2 linked regions of the Kluyveromyces lactis genome follow. The protein of the gene in region 2 interacts with the protein of the main gene of each other region in a pairwise test. Links are inferred from orthologs where the notes say so. Each region holds a gene or a part of one and is shown on either strand. Other genes may lie near its edges. The genes, in order: RQT4 and SLH1.

The links.
Region 1: the proteins of SLH1 (region 2) and RQT4 interact in a protein complementation assay, tested with the Saccharomyces cerevisiae proteins (2 studies listed by BioGRID). The link is inferred for Kluyveromyces lactis from reciprocal best matches to the Saccharomyces cerevisiae genes SLH1 and RQT4.

The regions. Positions count from the first base shown.
Region 1 is NC_006042.1:1,278,724-1,291,390, reverse strand, and holds RQT4 (Rqt4p), read right to left. Parts: upstream 5,241-12,667; coding exon 3,744-5,240; downstream 1-3,743. Other genes in the region: DBP7 (putative ATP-dependent RNA helicase), read left to right, coding at 1-1,385; GSM1 (Gsm1p), read left to right, coding at 1,894-3,633; import motor complex subunit PAM16, read right to left, coding at 6,694-7,113; transcription factor HAP4, read left to right, coding at 8,144-10,075; CTF13 (Ctf13p), read right to left, coding at 10,705-11,874; SLD2 (Sld2p), read left to right, coding at 11,945-12,667.
Region 2 is NC_006037.1:860,324-873,541, reverse strand, and holds SLH1 (RNA helicase), read right to left. Parts: upstream 8,121-13,218; coding exon 2,238-8,120; downstream 1-2,237. Other genes in the region: KLLA0_A09933g (DUF2406 domain-containing protein), read left to right, coding at 284-877; EFG1 (Efg1p), read left to right, coding at 1,466-2,152; JNM1 (Jnm1p), read right to left, coding at 8,349-9,431; glutamyl-tRNA(Gln) amidotransferase subunit HER2, read left to right, coding at 9,666-11,075; chromatin segregase YTA7, read right to left, coding at 11,125-13,218. UniProt on the Saccharomyces cerevisiae protein: Involved in activation of the ribosome quality control (RQC) pathway, a pathway that degrades nascent peptide chains during problematic translation.

The sequences.
Region 1 (12,667 bases), on a different chromosome or scaffold from region 2:
TCATTGGTACTCCAGGTAGAGTATTGGATCATTTACAGAACACAAAAGTCATTAAAGAACAATTGGCTCCAAGTTTAAGATATGTTGTTTTGGATGAAGGTGATAAGTTGATGGAATTGGGGTTTGAAGAGACTTTGAAGGAAATCCTCAATATCATTCATGGTATCGATATAGATACTCATCAATTCCCCAAGTTGCCAAAGAGAATTTTACACGTCTTGTGTAGTGCTACTGTGAAAGGTAACGTGACAAAACTTGGCAATGTAACGCTTCAAAACTACAAATTGATTAGCAGTGGTCAAAAACAAACGGAAACTACTACAGTACCAGATCAATTACTTCAAAAGATTGTCATAGTGCCACCAAAGCTAAGGCTAGTTACTCTAGCGGGATCTTTGACAACTATAACTCAAAAGCATTATAAAGAAGGATCAAAATCAGACGTAACAAGAACCATTGTGTTTTTATCTTGTTCTGATAGTGTAGATTTCCACTACGAAGTGTTTTCATCGCATGATGGGAATCATAGAGGTCTCGTTGGAGATACCGCAAGGCTTCTCACAAAGGGGAACAGCATACTTCCATGTTTCAACGACACGGACGATCCAAACGTCATATGTTACAAGTTGCATGGGTCCTTATCGCAACAAACAAGAACCGCAACCTTAAAACACTTCGCCACGAATAACGATGCCACCAAGGGTAAGCATCTGATCTTATTTTGTACCGATGTTGCATCCAGAGGTCTTGATTTACCCCATGTGAGTACTGTTATAGAAATGGATCCACCGTTTGCAGTAGAAGACCATTTACACAGAATCGGGCGTACTGCTCGTGCTGGTTGCGAAGGTGAATCTCTACTATTCCTCTTACCTGGTGAAGAAGAAGGATACATGGACTACATCAAACCGTACCATCCAAAAGGTTGGAAATTACTCACATACGACGAGCAAGTTTTGAGGCCTGCATTCGAGGGGCTCAACGTCCGAAGAACCGATAAAAAGAAGGAAGATTGGGACAAACATGAAGCACAAGCTTGGGACAACAACGCTACTACTTGGCACTTAAACGTTGAAAGGAGAGTAATCGAAGATTCTCACTTCAAGGAATTGGCTGTCAAGGGGTACATGTCCCACATCAGAGCGTATGCTACCCATCTTTCCATCGAAAAGAAGTTTTTCAACCTTAAATGTCTACATCTTGGTCATTTGGCCAAATCATTTGCCCTAAGAGAAAGACCTAAATCGATGGGTCTCCAGCAAGGTAAAGCCGGAGCTGCTGCTGCAGCTTCCCAAAAGAAACCAAAAGAGGACTCGAAGTCTAAAATGCTACGTATGGCCAAGATGGCCATGAGACAATCTAACGACGAATTCAACTTTGCATAAATGTAAACTCACTCCAGCCAACTTCTACATATACTTTATTCAAAACTCATGTATTTCTAACATTTGCACTACATAAACATTTGATAGACACTAAAAGCCAATCTTTTACCCCCTTAGTACAGCTTTTAAATGCTAGTATACTAAGCGAGAGTTTTTAAAGGTCGCGATTTACTCCAGTTCGTCTTGAACCCTTTGCTGATTCAAAATAAATCATCAACACTTTTTGAATGTTTTCCCCAGATATAAAGAAAATGACAAACAAGATTTAAGAACTTCGTTTGAATTATCCAAATTAACTTCTTATATACCGGAAACGGTACATATCACCTGGCTGAGACATTCGCTACTCAAGACTCTAATACTGAGTTATTCAGCCTTTCAGATATCGCTGTTTTCGATCGCTTTTCTAATTTTGGAAGAGACCAGGGTATTCAACAAGGTATTATTCCTCGACCGGAACTATTTATTATAAGAACTAAGTTGTATTTTATGGTTGGTATATTTTGTAATGACGAAGAAACTTACAGCTCAAGAGAAACTGAATCGAAAACCGATACCGACAGCTTGTGTGTTTTGCCATGAGAAGCATTTACAATGTGATCTTGGTAGACCCTGCCAAAACTGCTCGAAGCGTGGGATTGGTGACACATGTAGGGATAAGGAGCGTAAGCCCAGGAAACGCGGACCGCGGAAAGTTAAGAAGGAACGTGAGGTTTCGGCGTCGACAAAGTCAGAGATATCTAATACTATTAATCAACAACTGATCCCCGTTATTAATACTGCAACTGCCGTTAGCAATAGACAAAATTCGAGTAAAATAATAAAGGCCAAGCAAACTGGAGTTTCGACAAAGAAGACGAGGATCTCCAAGCTAGCTATGGATTCTTTACCGTTACAAATGCCCGTTATAAATTCTCCATCTGATATGTTTGGGAAACAGAAGAAAGTTATGTCGCCAGAGTTGCCGAAGATTCCCAGTCTCACTCAGTTATTCAACCCAACTGCAGAGCCCATTATCTCGGATGCCTTGTTGCCAAGTAATCAGAATAGTGCAGCCAATTTACCCTCTCTGGCTGATAAGACTCCCTTGGAGGAATTTAAGAATAAACCACTTTCTGAGCGAGCACCTCAGCAGGGGCCGCAACAACCAGCACAGCAGCTGCTGCCAATCCCAGAGAAGCTGAATTCAGATCATACGAGCAGCAACAGTAGCACTGGGGAGTTCGGGAGTGTATGGACTACGGAAGAATATACAAAGCTCAATGATATGCTATCGACACCAAACCTTTCCCGAAATAACTCAAAGACATACTTGAATTCCAATATAGCGTGGTCTCCAAGTAACATGATGAAAATGGATCCTATCACTGAATCTCAAAGACCTATCAATACTCAGGAACTGCTAAATCTCACAAGCAATGGGTTGAAAAGGACGCATTCCAGGCCGCACATATCGTTAGATCAAATGGCAAGTGAATCTAAAAGGCATTCTGCAAATGATACGTCACCGGAATCTCAAGGTGGTGAAACTGTGGAGAATTTGAGTCCATACAGGTTTAGATTACTGGTTAAGACACCTGAGGACTTGTACAAACATCAAGCTTTAATTCAACCGCATAATTATAAGTCAGCTTATCTGGAACTGTTAAGATTTTTGAGATGGAGATTCATTAATTCAGATAAACCTTCCTCGGGTAAATCTCAGAGGGATGGCCCCGAGCAATTGCAAAATATAGCCCACTCTATTAAAACACATTATGCACCAATATTCGTTACACTAACTAATAGTTTAATTGCTCAAGATTTAAAATTACAAGAAATTATTCTCCAAAGGGCATTGTTAGAGTATGAAAGCATGGCCAAACTTGTAAATTGTACCCCAATGTGTATATGGAGAAGGTCAGGGGAGATATGCTTTGCTTCTAATGAATTTATATCCCTTACCGGGTTCAACAAAAAGGAGATTTTAAACAAACGAAAGTTTATCATGGAATTCATGGACAATGAAAGCATAGTAGATTACTATGATATATTCCATGAGTATTTGGCATTTGGTTCAACTCAAAGTGGGCCCTTCAATTCATCGACCGGAACTTCTGATGGTCAGGCTATTTTTAGCGAATGTAACCTTTTGTTAAAGAATGGATGCTATCTACGGTGTGCATGTATTTGGACAGTTAAAAGAGATGCATTTAATATTCCAATGTTAATAATGGGCCAGTTCTTACCAATTTTCGATATTGAATGATAGTCGAATTGTTCCAACCGTAACGCTTGCTCGATATGTAACTATATATAAATTTTCCAACACATTTATTTATTGATTATGGAAACATCGGCGGTCCGGGCAGACAAATTTCACAAAATTGCCAAAATGCTATCTTGAAGTGATGGTCTATCATCAATACCTACTTGGACACGATGAACTTCATTTGATACCTTTTTAGGAGCAGATTCTTTTTCTTCCTCAGCGTTTGCTATGTATACAGGTTTCTTAAACTCCGACTGCGCCTTGTTATAATCCCAAACATTGTTTGTTAACTTGGAACTCTCCTTCTGTTTTTGTTGATTTATCTCTAACTTCAAATTCTTGATATCTTCCAAGTCTTGGAGATCTTCTTCATCGCTAATATCATCTATTTCATCATCACTAGTTGCATTCGTTTTTTTGCTGCTCTTTCTAACTGCTTCTGTCATAACAACTTTACCATCCTTACCGATCGTCAAGTCCAAGACGACCTTTTCACGCCTTCCATTGCGTTCATTCTCAATCTTTTCCCATTTTCGTAAATTTCTTTGCTGTTTCTTTAGTTGTAATGCTCTTTCGTAAGCAGAACCCCACATGACATCTTCATTCATAGCGAAATCACTAGCATTGTCAATGATCTTGGTTCTTTCAGCACTGGTATCCTGGAAATGAAGTAGCTTGTCGAGTCGATTTCGTGCTTCAATAAGTTGTTCATCCTCCTCTTCTTCCTTTGACTCCCCATTCAATATTTGTTGTCGTTTAATCTCTCTCTCTTGTTCCCGATCTTTCTCCACTCTTTGTAGCATTTTCTCTTGTTCTTGCCATAAATTTGTGCCTGCACCAGATTTAATCTTATATTTCTTGGTTTGCTTCGGCTTGGGCTTGTTCTCTTCAACTTTCTGAAGCTCTATTTGTTCTCTCTCTAACCGTAGCAATTCTAAGATTTGTTCGCGTTCCTTAGCTGGGATTAATTCAGCTCCGCAAAAGCTGCAATTGTTCATATGCAAACCTTCTTTGACACATATTATTTTGCCACATGACAGACAGTTTGGTGCAGGATCGAATATTGGGTGCCTTGTTCCCTGGCAATTGCATTTATATTGACCGGAATCCCCAGAGACTGACCTCATCTCCAACATCTTTAACACATCATCGATATCCTTCAATGAATCTAATCTGACTTCTTTACTCTCTTTCCCCGAATCCTTTTTCACAGCCTTGGCAGTCGGTACCTTTTTTAATTCTCTATTCAATATCGGTTTCGTTGCTTGAATAGACTTGTTGGCGAACTCGGCCCTGGAATCATTGGTTTTCACAGTATTAATCAATGGAGATATCACTTTTTTAGTATTGGTTGTTTCGTTCACTATTGGTTTCTTGACAGCCGTTTTACGGGGCAATTCCATGAGCCTCTCATTGAACTCAAATATGAAATGTACCGATGAGTCGTCTTGCCCTAAAAGATCAAAAAAGGATTGGGCTATCTGTTCAGGGTTGTTGCCTTCTTTTATCGTCTGTTCACATAGATCTTTGATCTGTTCTGTATCTAGTGGCAAAATGTTGGGCAATTCCTTTATAGCATACTCAATAGCATCCTCTTTCGTCATTGTGACTGTTTTGGCAATATTATTCCAGTGCTATGTATATCCTTTTACTGTGTTGTTTGGATACGAGTAGTTACTTTCTCAGTTGCTAAGGCTCATCTCTCAATATTAGACTTTTTCACTTTAAAAGATGAGAGTTCTCAAGTTATGAAAGAAAAGGTGGAACCGATCAGCCAACAAGAGGTCTATTGTAACAATTGGGTGGCTGTCCAGGTGATCTCATGAAGAATCATAGACTCGAGAACTTGGATCGAAAGTAGCAGCTTCGGAAGCTTTACTGTCAAATGGTTGTTAACGTCACATTATCTTGGACTGACAGACATTAATACCCGAACCTTTCTATAACTATATATAAATCTAAACGGTATAGTTACTGCTGGTGCCACAGCCCAGAAGCTGGGTACTACTCTAAGTAACCGAAGTTCCTGGATATTGACACTTATTAAGCAGTGCAGTGAGTAGGACGAGCTGCATGGGCAAGATGAGCAGTATATTGCTTATAAGTTCGACTCAAAAGATCCCACTTGGATGAACAGATTTACATTTCATATAAACTGATTCTCGACTAGGCAATATACACCATGAAGGGCCCCAAATATCTGCAACATGCTTGTCTGGTCAACGATATCTTACCTGGTAAAACCCTAAATCAATTATAATAGTAGAGACGTATGTCCGGGTAATCTTTCCGATCAATAGTATAAAAGTGGCAAATTTTTCAACACTTTGAACCTCTTTCAAACACTCTTACAGTTCAAAGATTGGAAAATCTTTTTGATGTTTGTTCTTAATAAACCAATCATCAGTAGTGGTTAGTACTATCTCAAGATAATATTAATACACATATACACCATAGAAACCTACGGTTTCGGTTATCTCTTTTCTCAAGAAGTTTTTCCTAGGTTTCTTCGGAGATCTAGGAACGGCTTTAGTTAATACTGGAGAAGAGTGACTGTTACCATTTTTTAACCCATAGCTGAATGGATCCTGACTAGCCCCAAACAAGCTGGCCACAGTTTCCATTTCGTTTCCGGTTTCTTAGATCAATAAAGTTGGAAGCGCATTGAGTTGGGAGGGGAAGTCTCTTCCTTTTCCCGGTTTTTTGCATCACTTCTTTCTTTTAACCATTATGAAGAGGTCTGGAAAGTGATGATTAGAAGCGGTTTAACAGCTCGCTCTAGTTGTTCTTCCAGGTGTTGCATGTGATCCAGAGGGCTTTGCGTAATGGCTGCCTGAGAGTTTGGATTTTCACTCTCCGTTGTGCCCTTCTTCATGATGGAACAGTTTTCCCATCTTCTAGAGAATTTTTGTATTAATTAGTTGTAGACATAAATCAGCTTCATCAACCACTGATGATATTGTGCTGAACATGATACGATGAGCATGCGATGCGTGTATTTCGGTTTATTTGAACTATTTACAAAACTTATACTAGGCCAGAGAGAATGACCTTACGCTATTTTTTCAACTCCGGTGACTCCGTCGTGGAACTCGACTTCGCTTGTTCTTGATTCAGTTCTGGATTGGCAGCCTTTTCCTTTTCAGCAAGCTCGTACTTCAAACGCTCTGCTGCCCTGTAAATCTTACTCTGCAAGTAGAATGATCCACCTTTCTCTTTATCGTTGATCTCGAACAAATACTTGAATCTTTCGTTGATTTTATCCAAATTCATATCCTGTTCATTCTCAATGTTCAAAATCTTAGAACTCTCATCTAAAGTGATACCTCCGTATTCTGCGCTAGCACCACGGCCTCTAGAAGCATTTGCCGTTTGTTTAGCTGTTTGAGCTGCTGCTTGTCTGTAAGATTCCGCAAACGCACGTCCAAACACCTGTGCCCCGGTGAAAATCACCTGTATAAACGCTCTGTGTGCCATATCCTATAGTCTTGTTGTATTTCTTGGATATGCGCAGTTTACTCGAACTGGAACGGCGTTCTTAGACAAAGCTTAGAAGTTAATCCGATGAGTAGTTTAGTGTTTAATGCTGTTATTAGTTCCAGTTCTTTCTGTTCTCAACTTTTCGATGACTTTTCGAAAACAGAAGGGGTTACCCGGGGATGTCAAGACCAGCCCCACATATTTGCTGTGACACCGTCAAATAACTATATATCTGGTTGACAGCTATGCCTCATTAGAATGATTTAGCTAGTCTACAATGACTACAGATGGAGTTTGTAATTGCATTCGCTCATTCAGGCTTTTTATAGGGTATTTTTATGAGGTTTTAGCTTCTCATTCCACATTGTAGAATGTGGCATCGGAAACGACGCAGGTATCAAGAAATTAAACGATAGGTGATCCCAGCAACAGCAGCTACGCTGCTGTTGCATTGATTGGGGATGTGAATTCAGCATGCTAGTACTAGCGTAGTACTGTAACGGGGAGGAGGGGGGGGATCCAGTTTGGGAGCGTGGCTTTGTATCTGGGGTCATGGTCACGTGATCAATTATTAGCAACTCAACACCCAATCCCCATTTCAAACTTGAGATACCTCTTAGTACTCAGGCCATACTATCTTATGGCCTGAGATATATAAATTCATGATGGCTCGTCTTGATGTATCATGCCCTCATTTTTACCATTGTTCCCCCTCTCTCTCTCTCTCTCAATTTCGGTTTAAATTGAAAAGTTGAGTAGTTAATTCTACCGAAACAAACGACTTCTCCGAAACTAAAACAGGTTCTAACAGACACACAAGGACTCAACAAGCGTGATTCAATCGTATCGCAGGTGGTTCAAACTAATTTAGGTTGCATCTCGCCGTAAGGTTTTTGTATCCTACTTTCAAACGCATACTTCGCAACTCTGGTTACGGCTCCGGTTCCGAACCAGTTAATATTGTTTTCGCTGGTCCGGAGAGAATTCTATAATAAAAGCACTTCAGACACAGAGTAAGAATTAACTAATGTCCAGGCCAGTTTCATTGGAGCCCCTTCACGGACACACTGGGCCTCATCAGCAGATTACAATTGCTCCTAATTTACAGCCGAAGAAACATGAGAAACCCACTGGGATCACGATTCGAACGTCTAGGCACTGGGTTCTTCCACCGAGGCCTAAACCGGGTAGAAAACCCAGTCCTTCTTTATCGATAAAGCAGCAACTGGCAAATGTCAAGGGTATGGCTGTAGAGTCCACTACGCCTGCTTCTGCTTCAAGTACTAATGCCAAGATTAAACAAGAACCTGTGGAATCAGTGAAAGAAGTTGAGAATTTGAGACCGGGATCGAAAAAACACTTGGCTGCCACTGTTATTGATTCTGGTAAAAGTTGCTCTTCTTCTGATCAAGGTACAGTAGCGTCATCTACAACGACTGCAGTCCGTACAGGAGTGCCAACCGCAAGCTCCTCATCATCATCATCATCATCAACTATCCCGTTGACTAACTGTAAATCTACAAACGCCAAGTCAAAAGCAATACAAGTTGAACAGACAACATCGATCACTCATACCCAGCCTAAGCCCATCCGTGCCAAAATTGCACCAGCTGCTTGCAAGAAACAAGTCATGCCAATTCCGACCTTAAAGCCATCAGCTAAAATGGAAAGCGCAAAAGTTAAGCCACAGGTGAAAATGGAACAGCTGGATGTTACTTTAGATCATATTCAATCTGCACAACCCGTGGAGCCAAAGAAAAAACCAGGTTCCAAAACTGCTTTGAAGAAAGAGATCAAGATCCTTAAGATGGAAAACAATAAGCTTAAGAAGGAGCTTACCGATCTAGTGGGTAACTTACAGGAATTGAAACGTCAGTTCCCTATCGTACCAGAAGAATCAAATTCTAAATCTCCACATACCATAGTACCAAGTGTCAACAGCAGTGTTCCAATGCAACAGAAGATTCTTCCAAAACCAATGACAAATAAATCGTACCATGAGCCAGTACATGTGAAGCAAGAACATACTGAGAGATTGCCTCGTAAAAGATCTATCATTGACAATGATGCTGATATGTTACAAATCGAAGTGAAACCAGAACCTGCAGACGATACTGAAATCTTTTTGAAATTCGATGAAGATGATGAACCAAATAGAGACTTCATCAAAAATCTTTCCTCTTCAAGGATGGTTCAGACCTCTTCTTTGAGTTCTCGTGCAAGTTTGACAGATGAAGACGATCTGTTACTATCATCATCTACCCCAAGTTCTTTATTCTCTACCGACTTAAATCGTACCGTGAGCAATCAACTTCTTTCCAATTCATCTACCTTGACGAATACAGGATCAAGTCCAAGTAGTAGCCACACATCAAATAAGAGCTTACCAAATTCTCAGTTCTCTGATACTATTGAAGCTATGAAATTCTTGGATGGTTATGAGCAAATGGAGTTCTATTCCAAATACAAACTTTCGACTTCACATTCTCAAGAACCTTTGAAATCTATACAAAAGCTTAAGGTAGATCACCACTCTACCCATCAGGATGAATTGGATTGCATTAAAGAAGAAGACCCAATGACAGATACGTTAGCGAATTCAAAGGCTTATAACGCGGAGCAAGATGCTAGTATGCTTTACTTCTTACAAAAACATGCTCTGACTAAGAACCCTGGTTCGAAACTTGGCGATTTGCCAATCGATCTCGATGATTCGTTGCCCTCGTCATTGCTGTTGAAACTCAGCGAAGATGACGAAAATTCTTTTATGAACTTAAATTTGAATAGCATAGATCCAGACGATCCTTTAAGTGAACATGTTAATGATACACCGTTTGTAGCACCAACACTAGAAGAATTAATGGAAGAACAAGACGACAAGGATTCAAAGTTGTTAGGTCCTGAAAACACTGAACAAGATATGGACCTTCTCAAGATGGGTATCTTTTTCTCGGACTAACACTTTCTTATTCTGCATATTACAATCGCTAAACTCTGCTTTTGTTTCTAGTGTTCTACAAAAAAGCATATACGTGAGCTTTGTTGACCAAAGGCTGAAATTTAGTAACATTTCGGATATCGTGTTAATTTTGTCATATTCCATTCTAATCTGTTGCTGTTATCTTTTGCCGCAACATGTGCTTACTTTCATTCCACCCTTACATTTTCAATTCCAAGTTGTAGTCAGCCTTATTGTTTCCCATCCTTTCTTTGACGATTTGTCAATTATGTTATCCCCGCTAACCATGTTTTTCCTTCATTTAACACCGTTATTATTCTCGAATAATGAGTACGTCAAGCACCCCCTTTTAATGACCCCTTCCAACGATTCCAATGACAATAATGTTTTAACGACACAATAATTTACCTTTATTACCCACCGATTTTTTTTATTATTATTATTATTATTATTATTATTAGTATTCACGGTCCTCCAATCTCGTTTGATGAAATGAATGACACGAAATTACTCTCCCTATCTATATTCATTATATTGCTCTTATTTATAAGTCTATATGTACATTTGTTCTCTGTTTCTCTCGCGCTAATGAATTGACATATTTATCGTACACATTGGACACAATTCTCTTATATCAGTAAAACAGAATCTACCTTAGTCCCATTAGAAATCTTTATTCTAGATTCGGTTACTAAACGAGCAGGTAATATTAGATTTCCTTTAACTCGCTTGGCGTTGTGCAGTTCTATGAAATTCAGAGGTTGGTATGTTTGTACCACTTCTAAATAAAGGTTATACCATTCTGATTCCTCTTCTTCTTCTTTCTTCGTGGGTTTTTTCACCTGACCATTTATAATCCATTGAGGCCTGATTCGTTTCAACAGATGAGACAGGTCCCACCATATGATATACTTCACTTCTTTTAATATCAACATCTTGCAATGTTGTGGTAAAATAAGGTTATTGAGGTCTATGAATTCGCAACCTGATAAGGAAAGACATTGAAGTTGTTCCCATTTTTGTAAATCAACAACAGATTTGTACCCCAAATCCCTCAACGTATACAGCTCTAATTCGAATATATTTTGTCGGACATTGTATACTATTGTCTTACCAGGGTTCTCTCGAACTCCTTGAGTATTAATCAGGTTATTAAACATGTTCTTCGATTCAATGCGAAGCATGTGCAAGTTATTGAACGACTCCATGCATGGAATGATAGAAACGACGTTCTCATGATCTAAATCCCAGCAATTGATGAAACTAATATATGAAACTGTATCAAATAGCCAGCGGTGTTGTATCTCTTTGCATAATTCATTGACATCATTGATATCACTGACGTTAATTCCTAACCTCAAATCTTGTTGTGCAATACTCAAAAGATGGCAATACTCGTTAATGGTATAACTCACCTGTAGAAACTGCTCATCTGTAGTGAATATTCCTATTTCAAGCTCACCTGACACTACGATCCATTGGACACTAAACCATTGTTCCTCATATTGTAAACAAACCCGCAGTCGATCAGTAAGTATTATGTCATGTCGAAGCAAATCGAAGTCTCGGCACCAATTGGGAATGAAATTTGGTATATAGTCATATACACCAATATGTTTAGAGTACTTATCCACCAGAGATTGATTGAACTCCCTTATATTAGGATAGGCAATAAGCTCATCGTTAAAGATATCTGATTTAGCAGGTGGTCTTACATTTTGCACAACGTCGCCCAAAAAGAAGTAAACAGTATACCGTATATCGATTGGTAAACTGAGGAACAGCTTGGTATCAAACATTCCATCTCATGTGCCCTGATTGACCTGTGATCGTGAATCTTTTGCAGCTCATTTCTCTTTATTCTTCTTCATGGGAAACTTCAATAATTTACGCGTTTTAATTTCGTTCTTTGCCTTTATTCTAACGACCTTTATGAATGGAATAAAAGAGACAGATACAGTAAATGCACCGTTGTTACTCGTGATATCAAGCGCTAGTATGGATGCTCTTAAGATTGAGATCAAGCTGTGGGAGCGTGCTTTCGAGAAAGAGCATGGAAGGCTTCCTGAGAAAGATGATATAAAAAAGGATAAAGAGGTCAAGAGAAAGTATAAACAGTATGCACAGCTCAAGAAGGATGCTACTGTTAAACCATCGGTGGAGGTTAACGTAGAGCAAACACCAGTGAAGTCGCATGTGAATAACACAAAGGCTGAATTCGGACCGACTCCTCAAATGAATGGGAAATTAGTTAGTATATTTGAGATGCAAGTGTCTGCCATGAAAACTCACCAGTCGGATCAAGAAGATATAGTTGGCTCGCCAGTAAGATCAAATGACCTGGTAAGGCGCCAATTGAACTTCTCAATAACGCCGAACTCTTCTCCAATGAAGCAAGTTCCAAATCTATCTGCGAATATTGTTGTGTCAAGACCGAAATATGGACCAAACTCCCCAATGCGGATCGGCGATATTGGATTGCAGTTGTCAGAAACACCAAAGACGCTTGGTAGAACCCTGGATTTGAAAAGTTCTCCCTTCAGCCCATCGCCGCTGATTAAAAGGCCGGTGAAGACACTGTCCCAATTAGCG
Region 2 (13,218 bases):
TCCATACATGCCGCATTGACACAATCGTATTTTCTACAAACCTTCTGAACTTATCAGCCGTCCGAAGTGGCTGAGTTTGCGAAACTTTTCCATTCCTCTCTCGCATTGCATGATTCAAATCTTCATCAGTCTCGGCCTTTTGGACAAAAATCTTATAATAGGAAAAAAGACTATTTAAATAGAACCTGACCATAAACATTGACTTCCATCAAAAGGGGAGAGTACCTCTCTGTATTCAGTTCAACAACGTCCAAGGGATTAATATACAAGGTTATAATACAGTATGGGTGTTTTCAACAGACGTAGTAGTGGTGATTCGAGCAGCCATGGTTCCACCGGTTCAAACGAAGTGAAGATTACAAAGGAAGACCGTCAGCATTTGAAAGTTCGGACTGCATCGGTTCATGATCCTATCCTTGAGGCGGTGCAAGAGATGCAGCCCTTCGAGCAAGCAGCAGACACGTTCCAGGGCAATATGAACAGACAGTCGCACGTGCCCACGGGGGAGTTGAAGGACGTGTTTGGACAACCTATCCAGCAACCTGATGTGTCTAACCCCACGCGGTCACGTGACGAGCGTCCGTTGGATACGATTAGAGGCTTTGAGTATTCAATCTCTGGAGATCCGACTTGGTCGCAGCAGCTAGAAACGCCACAGTACGGGTTTAGGGTCAGGCCCGGGTTCCAGGCGTATACTGGTGGTGTTGCAGGCAATGGGAACGACCATCATGGGTACCCATCGAACTTGAATATGAATACGAATACGACGAATTCGTACCAGCAACAAGGTGTGTATCAGGCACCCGTTTCTGATGCGAATAAGGAACAGAAGACGAAGAAAAAGAGAGGGTTTTTCGGCAGGAAGAAGAAGGACTGACACTGGGGCGAGAATGCCCCAGTGCTATTCTTCTTCTTCTTCTATTTACTTCCCTCTCTTTTTGCGTCAGTTCTCTCATTCCATGTAACACATACACATCCACGCCCTCTTCAATTCTCCAAAAAAAACGTCTGATATCCTGTAATACCCTAATTATTGGTGGAAAAAATGATCAGAGTTTGCTGGTGCCGCGTCCCTCCAGGAGCAATGCCTTGTTTAAAGGATGCACCTTTTACCTGTAAGATACCCTTGGGATTTTCCCTGGCAAACTTCATCTTACTGTGTGGATATAAATAAAATATGTGCACACGTACAGATATATAATTCGAAAAATTACGATACCATACTTATGTACTACTGCTTCGTAGGTATTCTAGGACAACAACGCTTCTTGAGTTCTCTCGTTGTTTGTTCACGTCTCTTCATATACCTCATTGCCAAAGAAAAAGAAATAAAGCTTTGATTCGAGCTGAAAAGAATCTTCTATGAGATGAGATGAGATGAGGTACAGCTGAATAGGTTGGTAACAGGACAATAGCTGGCCTGGATACAAAGACTGTGCAGTAAACCATATTCCACATTGATAATATGAGCGGTAAATCTAAACGTCCTAGACAAAGACACGATTCGTCGTTGCAGTTGGCCAGTGTCATTGGTGCTGGAGCGAATAAGATCAAGAAACAGATAAGAAACGTAGAGAGACTACTACAGAAGAGAAGAGACGTACTTCCTGACACTGTAATCGTGGAGAAGGAACGTATGTTGGAAGGTTTGAAGTTTGAATTGAAAGAGGCAGAGTTGAGGCAGGTTGGTCGTAAAAATGCTAAGAAATATCATATGGTGAGGTTTTTCGAACGGAAAAAAGCGTTACGGAGGTACAAGCAAGCGTCCAAGAAAGTGATTGCTGATCCTGAGAATAAGAGATTTCAAAACGAGTTACGTGACTGTACGATAGATCTATGTTATGTTGTCAATTTCCCAAGACTGAGTAAATATATTGCGTTATATCCAACTGGCTCTTCAGATGCTAAAGAATTGTCTGAAGAAGTGAAGAAGGGTTTAGATAGTACTGACGCCAAGAGAACTGAATTCCGTAATCTTGTTGCTAAGCAATTGGATGAGGGTACTTTGCCCGTGTCCTTGAGCCAAATTTTGGAAGGTAAGAGATTGAATAAGGACAGTACGGGTGTCATGTTGGAAGAAGAGCAAGTAGAAGAAGAAGCTACAGAGAAACAGTTCAACGACGAAGAAGAAGAAGACGATTTCTTCGAGTGAAGTGTAGGCAACTGCTTGCCAACTGTTGTACTTTTATTAAAAAGAATTAATGTATTTATATATGTGTTTAAAATGTAAGAGTTCCTTACTCCATCAATTTGTGCTTCAGGTGGTACTTGATATCAAGAGCATCACTTACCAAAACGAAATCTAATTCTTTACCGCGAATATCTTCAGGTACAACAAAGTCGAAACTTAGTAAACCTTTTCCATTGGGTCCTAGTCTTGGCTGACATCTTTTCAACATGATTAGTTCATCGTTTTGATATGCAATCGCAAACCAGAGCTCTCTTTGAGTCTTTGGATATTTCGCACAGTATACTGAAAATTCTTTAGGTACCCTGTTATGGTGTGTGGCCTTAAGAACTAATGATTCATTACTGGTCTGAGAAGTGAACACAATATTGTCTAATATGGGTAACCTGGATATTTCCCTCAACATACGTTTTTGATGGTCAGGTGTAACATGGTACTGTCTGGACATGATATTCTTCACCTTGTTCTTGGCGCCATTGTCATCTTGAAGTCTTGCTAAAGAGTCTAAACTCATCTTGTATCCATTATCAGGTAATGGCCAACCATCATCTCCGAATTCGATACGGTCGTCTCTCTTTAAATGAGCTCCAGGTAACGCTGAGATAGGATCGTCTTCATACCAGTACCCTTGCTTCACACATTGCATGGCCTTTATCAGAGTCATCACGGTGTTGAAGTAACCTAGCTCGGCCGCCACGTCAACATAAGCCTGTAAGATACGCAAAGATTGATCGAGTACCGAAATAGTATCTTGATGATAATCAACAATGGGAAGTTCAGCACGACTGAGGTATGCCTGTAACAATAAGAAAGCCTTCACGTGTGGATCCCACATTGGAAGTTCAAATTCGTCAATGAAGGTAGATTCGATAGAATACCTTGACTGTGCAGACATTTCTACATTCATGATTATTTCACCGTTTCTCACTGGAAGTTCGTTATATTCAACAGCAAGTGATAACCATTTTAGAACATCTTGGAACGATGCGTTAGAGTTGATTTGTTTCAAAAGCGAACGGATGGTTTTATGCGAAATGTAGTAATAGGAGGAGATACTCAAATATGGTGTTGAGTAGATATTTGTACCATAAATCTCCACACATCTAGATTCTTTCAAATTATCAAGAGTGTTGTTCACTAAGTCGCTTAAGTACTTATTGATACCAGAAGTACTAGTATCATCATTGATTCCATAATAAGTAGGATTATGATGAGCTCTCCTGAAAAGGAAAGTCCAATTCAAAAAGTCAAGAGCCTCTTGTTTAGTCGATATAGTACCAGATGCTATTTCAGCACCCATGTGATCATCAAGCACTTTGTGTAAAGATGATTCAACGGGGAACCCAACGTTTAGGAAATGTTTGTAGAACATTTTTTTTGATTCCTTTGTGTACACAATAGCGGTACCTGAAGTATCATAAGCGGGTCTCCCTGCTCTACCCATCATTTGCAATATATCTGTTAAGTCCATATCTCTGTAACCTTCGATCTTTGCATCGAAAAATTGTGTACCTTTAATGATGACTAAATGGGCAGGAAGGTTAACACCCCAAGCTAAAGTTGAAGTAGCAACGAGAATTTGTATTTTACTTCTTAGGAAGAGTTCATGCGAGATTGCTCTATCGCTTTCTATCAAACCAGCATGATGTAAGCCAATGCCGAATTGAAGAGATAATTTTAAAGTATCATCTGATACTTTGGAAATATAATACTGCAATTCTTCTTCATCGTCTATGTGTAAGAATCTACGTGGGTTGTCTTCCATACCACAGAGATGAATTAGGTCTAAAGCTGTTAATCTAGTTTGACGACGAGAGGCAACAAATAGTAGAACAGGTTTTTCCGGTGAGTGCTGTTTAATGGCCATGAAAGCCGGCTTATTCATCGTTTTCATTAAAGGACAGAAGTTTAGGTTATCTGGGAATCCATCGATATACATCTTTAGGGGCACAGGACGAACACTGGAGGGAAAATTATACAACCCATTTCCTTTAACACCTAACCAGCTTGCCATATCAAAGGCATTTGAAACAGCGGTTGACATACCCAACAATCTAATAGGTTTTTTCGTTTGTGAGGAAACATAATTCATACGACTTACAATCATTTCTAAGATAGGACCACGATCACTTGCAAGTAAGTGAATTTCATCCATAATGATCAACGAAACGTTTTGCACAAACTTACGGGTTTGCCAGTTACGAGAAATACCATCAAACTTTTCTGGTGTTGTAATGACAATGGTTGCATCTTTAATGTCCTGAGGATCAGGTACGGAATCACCAGTCAATTCAACTATCCTATCACCAGTGACAGGAGTGATTCTTTTTCTCCAATCATTCACTCTTTCCCTCACAAGTGCCTTCATTGGTGCGATATATACAACCTTACTACCAGGATAGTCCCTGAATGCATGCCAAATGGCCAATTCTGCCACGACGGTTTTACCTGACCCCGTAGGGGAACCAACAAACGTACTGACGTTGGAATGGTATAATGTATGGAACACCATTGTTTGCATTGGATTGAAATATTTGAAGGGATAAATAGACTCGACCAATGGGTTTTTCAAAGCAGAGGTTGGTAGCGGATTAAGTTTTTGTAACCTTGTTTGTAAAGTTTCATTGTGAGGTCTAATTAAGTGCTGGAAAGAAATAGTATGAGCGCTTTCACAGCCGATCCAAGTATCTGATACAACTTTGACAATAACTTGAGGTGGCAGTGGGTCTGATAATGGAATCATGAAATCCATTTCGTGTGGATTACTTAGTTGCCTCTTGTTTAATATGAACTTCTCGAAATGTAAAATACTCGATTGATTGGATTCTTCCACAAATACCCAGAAGAATTGAGCATCGCCGTGTACATGATAATCCCATTCAAAGTTTGGTAATAATGATATATGGACCCTCATCACATTTGTTGTTATCGGGAAAATCTCTGCGTCTATGTCTACTCTTGGGAAACGAGATATTATACGATATAACTTCCCACCCATCTTTTGGTTGTGAACAAGATCTGCTAACTCGGCAGCGTCCATATCTAAGAGCATTTCCATACTGGGGTTCTTTGCCTTGATGTTCCTCAATATCGTATCTGGTAAGTCAAATTGACATAATGGATGATCAAATGCCCACATTCTCTTTTCGATGGACTTGCATATATCTAGCATAACTTTTGAAAACGTGCCCCATCTTCTATTAATACCAATTAGAAGTAATGCCCTACATATTCTTGCAGAATTCTGAGCAATGTAATTTGCATCTGAATTTAGTGCAGAGTCATTAATTCTGCTTTGAGAAACATACGCTTGTAGAAGAATATTTGTCTTACCAGGTGAACTGTCGACGTCCCCAGAAATCTGACATTCAACGGCACAGTCAAGAAGTTTATTTAATTCATTAGATTCTTCTTCTCTGAACTTGATGGAATCGAATTCGCTGCTCATACTAATCATGGCTAACACATCTGCTTCAGTAGCCCTTGGATTAGCAACTTGGTTAAAGATTTCGACAGACTCATTAAGTAAATAAAACTCGGAAGCAATTCTTCCCAAATCCTTTGGAATGAAATGCATTGAAACTTCATCGAAAACAATCATTTGTAGAGAATGTAGACGACGGGCGGCTGTTATGATGATTTGTCTTCTCTTCTCGTACAATTGCGGATCATTTCGGATCTCTTCCCAATCAATACCATAAGTAAAAGGATTCTGTTTCATCCTGACAAACATGTAAGTATATCCTAACCACTTCACACCTTCCTCAACGTTCGTGACTGTTCCAAGAGATATTTCGGCATTCAAGTTGTCGACAACCTTAGCACCTAGTCTTGATTCAATAGGATGTTGTTGCGTGATTAGGTCGACATAATGATCTAAACGGTCGTTTGAAGTACATAAGTAAGCAGTACCATAATCAGAACCAAACCCTGGTCTACCAGCACGACCGAAGATCTGAATAACATCTGAAATTCCAAGATCAGTGTAACCACCTTTCTTGGAGTCATAAACCTGGGTTCCCTTGATAATGACACAATCAGCAGGTAAATTGACACCCCAAGCTAATGTAGCTGTACAAACAAGTACATTTACGGCTCCGCTTTTGAACATTTTTTCTGTTATATTACGATCTGAACGTGACATACCGGCGTGGTGAACACCAAACCCTGATTGGAATAACTCCTTAAGATCTTTATCTTTATGTTTGGAAAGTTCCTTTTGAAATATTGTTACGGAAGCATCGTTACTTGTGAATAAATCCATCTCATAATTGTCTCTTGCCATACTTATAAGTGTTCTGGCAGTTTTTACAGTATCCTTTCTTGAATGCACAAAGATCATCACTTGATTACCAAGTTTCATCATTTCTACGGCCTTCTCGTAGGCAACTTTATCGGTATTTTCTCTACATTGCTTACTTCCTGCTTTTCCTCTGCAACCAATCAAATGTTGTTCTAACGCTTTGGGCCTAAAAGACTGGTCGAAATAGAACATCCCGACATTCCTGTTTACACCTAAGAAATCAGCAACATCTACGAAATTCGGTAAGGTAGCAGATAAACCTAAGATACGGATCATGGTCTGCGAACTTTCTACCTGTCTTAAAGTACGTGCCACCAAACTTTCAATGACTGACCCTCTATCTTCATGTAATAAATGAACTTCGTCTAAAATTAATAATTTCACCTTTGAAGTAAGGTCATTGTCACCACTTGCTTTACGTGTGACCACATCCCATTTTTCAGGTGTTGTAACAATGACTTGAGTTTCAAGAATCTCTCGCTTCGTTAGTTGCATATCACCTGTAAGTTCACGAACCTTGACATCAAACACGGATAGCTTACGAGCAAACTTGTCAGTGATTTCAGCTGCTAAAGCCTTAAGTGGAGCCACGTAGATAATTTTGAAATCATCATATTCAATGTCAAACCCGCCTTCTTCATTTATGACGGAGAATTGTTTGATTGTATTTAATATAGTCAATAAAGCAATATCGGTTTTACCTGCACCAGTTGGAGCGCAGATCAACATGTTACCATTTGTATTGTACGCTACCGGGTAAACCAAGGACTGTACCTTATTCAAATAATCATACTCGAATACTTTACGGCAGTATTCATCCAAATCACTGACTTTGACCAATGGAATATCGAATTTTCTTTTCGGTACAGCGCATGGAATTGTTATCTCTTCATGTGTTTGGAAAGTATATCTCATGCTTCCAGCTGGTAATGCAAATTTTTGACCTGCAAAAGAAAGCATTGACGATCCAGCATCCTCCGACTGTCTAAAGACATGTGGATACTTTACTTTTCTTTGTGCAGTAGCCAATTTAGCGTTTTTACCTTTTTCCCTATTCTTGAGGACTTGTCTTCTCATGTCCTCTTCGGTCATGAATCGGTTTCCCTCGTAAGTATCCGAATTAGACATATGTTCAATCGGAGTGTGTTTCAATATCTCTTGATTCTCAATTAGAAACGATATCAGCTCGATGTTTTCAGCACCTAGGTAATCGAAGAGATCTTGGTCCGCAGTTCCAGTATTTTCATTGTTCCTCAACAACTCGATCAACTGCTGTAGTAGTTGATCTCGAGGGAAATCAGAATCAACATTATCAAGTAGTCTGAATAGCTCTTTGTATACTTGTGCTTGTGCATTAGAAGCTGAATGATTGGATGTAATCAACGATTGTAAGTTATCAGATGAAAGGTTTGCAAACTCTTCAAATATATCATCCCATTCATTCCTATCCTGAGAAGTTACCAACAATTTATTTCTATTATCACTACGCTTAGTACCCTTCTTCAATTCCTCATCGACCTTAGGGATTGTGCTTGTATCTAGATGAGGGAATGCCTGAGCTGCTGAAACCATTACTTCCATCGCCTTCATATAAGAGCCCACGGAATGGACTGAATAAGTCGTACTCATCCTGTACAAAGATTAATATTATCAACCCTATAGCCAAACTACAGTATAACGACTGTAACGGTTTTCCAATATGGGCTTTACGTTGATCTTCTTGTGTTAAAGTCAACTTAAAAGGTGTTCTTTGCTAAAGATTACGAATTATGATTCTTGTGCACTTTTAACAATGCGAAGAGATGAGCTATAAAAAAAAAGGCTACTGACTACTAGTATTAACTATCCATAGAAACGCTATTGGCCACTCAATTTACCTATTCTCACCTCTAGATCGTTGAGCTGTAACTCTAGTTGATGCCTAGTCCGCTTGAAGGATTGTTCTCTGTCGGTAAGCTGTCGTGACGTGGATTCTAAGAGCGATGACCATTTTTCGATCTGAGAATGAACTGAAGACATATGATCGTTAATCTCAGATACCGTATCGTTCATGTCATTCACAGAGGTATGTAGAACGTTTAGCGACTGTACACGTTCTGTGATTTGTGGAATCACTTCCGAGTACTTGTTTAAGATGTTATACTTATCGTAAATGTCATTGACCTTAGATTCTGTAGATTTTAACTTCCTTTCGATATCAGTAGATAGATTTGGGTCTTTCTGAGCTCTCCTTCCGATGATCGACTGGTCATACTGATCACTTATCTCTTTCATTTTATTTTGGAATCCAGTCAACGTCGGTTCATCCAACTTGAGGATATTAATCTCTCTGTGAAGTTCATTGATGATTGACGTTATCGATTTATTCGTATTCGAGGGTCCGATTTGTGACTCCAATATGGAAATCTTATGCTCAATATCCTCCAGCTGCTTCAATTGGTTGATTTCTATCCTGATGTTTGGAAGTGTAACCTCATTTTCTGTATCCTCGTCTGATGCTATGACCAATTGGCTTTGTATGTTTTCCATTGTACTTTCCGTAGACTGAGCCAACGTTTCATACAATTGCTTCAAGTTCTGTAATTCGTTTGAGGAACCATCCTCCTCGGAATCCTGCTCTATCTCAAGGAGCTCCCTCCGTATCCTTGCCAGCCTCTGCCTTCTTGTTTCATTTATATGTCTGATATTATACGTCGGCAGTGCGTATAGTTTTCCTGAAAAATCGGTATCCTCCGAACTTAGCACAGAATGCTCGAACCTTTCGTTATTCTCTTGAACCTTAGGTATTTCCTCCTCAATTATATCTTCATTTGCCTCGGTAATCACTACTTGGTCTGGTGTTTCTTCAACATCACTGGTCTCATACACTTCTTTCCCTGTATCGCCTTGTAACCCTAATTGTTCCACCTCAGTAGATAGATCGATTATTTCAACAGCCATGAGTTATTCCCGGTCTCTAGTTATGAATGTGCGCTAGTATGTCCCATATATCGGTCCCTAATCGGGTTGTGATCTTTAACTGTTCAATAGTTAATAAGTTTCATAGATATGAAACCTTAGAATCGAATTTAGTTCTTTTCAATCAATACACTACAATATATTACATTGGGAAGTGAAAATGGAGTGACTTACTCTAATTCTCTTTTAATTGACCATACACACTCGCTACTGATCATGTCTATCAAGACGGCACTTTCGAGGCTCCAGCAGATACCGGAGATTCAAAGTCGCTACAATGTTTTCACATATGTTAATGAGAGAGCATCGTCGCAATTGGAATCAATAGATAAGAACACTACCGCAGATAAACCGTTGAATTATACCCTGGCCGCCATTAAGGACAATATAGCCACCAAGAATATGCCTTCTACATGTGCCTCTAAGATTTTAGATGGCTATATGTCGCCTTTTGATGCCACCGTTGTTTCGTTATTGCTAGAAGCAGGAACGGTGATAGCTGGTAAAGCCAACATGGATGAATTCGGTATGGGTTCTGCTGGGATACATTCTCATTTTGGGCCAACATTCAACCCGCTCTTTGATCACAAGGATCGAGTTATCGCAGGTGGTTCGTCATCTGGATCTGCTGCTGCAGTAGCATCCGGAGTTGTTGATTTTGCATTAGGAACTGACACAGGTGGGTCCGTAAGGTTACCAGCCTCATACACTTCAACTTTTGGATTCAAGCCGTCGTATGGTAGGCTCTCAAGGCATGGAGTTATATCGTATGCTCAGAGCTTGGATACGGTAGGGGTATTTGCGAACGATTTGTCTATGATTGATAGGGTCTTCTCGTTGTTAGATAAGCATGACAAGAAAGATCCAACTTCGTTAAGCGAGGAATTGAGACACAAGTTTACTTCATTGACAACCAAGAGAAAGACTTTAAGAATAGGTATACCGGAAGAATTTTCTCAGGAAAGTGTTCCTGCTGAATTTAGAGCTGCCATGACGGCGATCATTAAACGTTTAATGAAGAAAGGGCATGAGGTATATCCTGTGTCAATTCCATCAGTGAAAAATGCACTATCTATTTATTACACGTTGTCTCCTGCCGAGGCAGTGTCTAATCTTTCCAGATATGATGGTGTCCGGTACGGTTATAGAGCAGAATCCGATGTTGAAGATGGTACTTTATTTACACCAACAAGGTCGGCATTCGGACCGGAAGTTCAAAACAGAATCATCTTGGGAAATTACAACTTATGCTCAGAGTCCTTTAAGAACAACTACATTAAAGCTCAAAAGCTAAGAGTCCAACTAATAAATGACTTTGATCGGGCTTTCAGGTTCCCAAATGTGTTAAGTGGGAACTCTGTTAATAAAGACGGCGTTGATATCATGTTGTCCCTAACCTCAACTTCATTTCCTACTACCTATGATGAAGTTGTGAGCGAGGAGAATAAAAACCCTTTGAATACATACATAAATGACATATTCACAATGCCCATGTCATTATGTGGGCTTCCAACAATGACTGTACCGGCAGGGCACGCATTTGGTATTCAAGTATTCTCTCAACACGGTAATGATTACGAGTTGTTAGATGCCTGTTCTGAAATTGATGCACTTGTAAATAGTTAAATGAGTTGAAGTTTAGTTAAAATCCATAATTCTATAAACAGAAATTCTTTTATAAAGTCTTGATAAGCCCTTCTAACTGATCGAGAGCATCCGTTTTGTCCCATGAAAGTCTATTGTTCCAGATGACGTTGGCTATGGATGCATAAACTTCTTCTAGTTTCTCTACTGTGAAGTTTTGTGTATTTTTTTCCAGAGCAGAGATCAAAGAGAGAGCTCTAGATTCATCGTAGACGAATTCTGGTTCTGGTTCTAATTCTGACTCTGGTTCTGACTCTGGTTCTGGTTCTGATTGAGCTTCTGGTTCTACTTCAGCTTCAGTGACGCTCGGTGGTTGCTTTTCCTGCTCCTTATTAGTTGCATCTTCAGTATCAACAGTTAAATGCGAATTATTGTGACTAGTCTGAGCAAAGCCATTTTCCGCATTGGTAAGCCTGCTCTCCGAATAATCTTGAACAGTGTCCGTTTTTGCCAAATCAGCATCATTGGTTCCAAAGTTCACAGGCTGTGTTGTGAATGGCTCTACTTGAGACGTTTCACCTAGATCTAGTGTACCCGCATCTAATTGAGCCTGAGACTGCACTTGGTTTCCTGAGGCGGTAGTTAGTTCAACTGTAGCGATCGAATCAGTTTGAGTTGGATTGTTCTGCAAAAGTATTTGTTGTTCCTTATCCACTCGTTCACTTTTTTCCTTTATAAATAATTCTTGTCTTAGAAGTTCTCTTTGGCGTGTGGCTTTGCATTCTGCAACAAATTCTGGTTGCGAGATATCTTCGATGCCGACTTGTGCATTAGCAAACATTTCAGATGCCTTTATTACTCTTTCTCTGTCCGCTGATGTGGTAGCATCAAGATAAATCAACTCGATATCTTTTAGGAATTGTTTCGGCTCAGAGTAATAACCATTCCATAATCTCTCTTCGATAATATCCAAATCCATGTTATAGAATTTTCTACCAGTAGCAACTTCGAGAATCATATCGCCGTCCTTTACATAAGCAGGTTGCCAGCCTTGGTTGGCAGCAAAGGTTTCAGGCTCAAATAAGTGAATCAAGAACGTATCATCAATAGGAGGTTTCCTGAACCTCTTGTAACGATTCTTGAAAAGATCCATTAAACCAGAAAGCTTTATTTTCAAGGTGTTCTTTAATTTCATGTCTTGGTGTTGGAACTTTTTCAATTCCAGTCTCAATTTCTCCTCTTCTGTTAAAAGTCTGCCATTCTCATCTATTTCCTGTGAGGTTTCGACGACAGGTAATTTTGGAAGTGGCTTCTTCCTTTTCCTCGATTCAATGTATTGAGTCGGTTTCATCTTAATAAGATCAGCTACGGTTTTGAAATACATAAACCTTTGATGAGGGGAGGGTTCGTTAATGTTCACTATGTTGGGCCCAAAGGAAAACATTGCAAGTGGACCGTCCTCAATTTCAGCGCGAGATAAGCCGTCAGCGATAGCTAGTAAAACCACGTTTTCATTACTCTGCAATGATCTGAAAAGAGTGGTTAAAGTGATGAGACAACTTTGGGGACAGGCTTGGAGCCATAATTCTAAGTTTGGTATGCAAATTACAGAGGGTTGACGCTTCTTAGCCTCCGCGAATGTTTGTACAAGTGCTGCTTCCATCGTTCTACTACTCTCCGATACCAAGGTAGGAATGTCAAGCATTTGAATATTGTAATCTTCCAAAAAGTGTAGTGTGGCGGAAGCGATATATTGTAACCCGTTACCGGGCGGGCCTGTGATCAAAAGTTTCGGTTTGCAGACACGAGATTTCTTGATAAGTTTTAAAAATTCATGCTTATCGAATCCAGTACCTTCTTCGTCATCAGAATCCTCAAGATCCTCATTTTCTAAGTAATATTGAATAATGGAGGAACCCGATTTCAATTTTGTGCTTTGCTTGGGTAGTAGTAAGTTGAGCTGATCCTTGACGTTAATAAATTGTTGAGCGAGGAGCGGTTCAACATATTTTGGTAAAGGCTGCGCTGTAGAGCCAGTAGCTCTAGCAGATGATGGTACAATCTTTTCTAGTGCAAGCATGAAGTCTCTAGCCTTGACTCTAACTGATTTAGGATCAATCTTTAGCTTTTCTTCACTTTTATAGATTTGTGGAAACTTTCTTTGGATACTGATCAAAGATGCTTC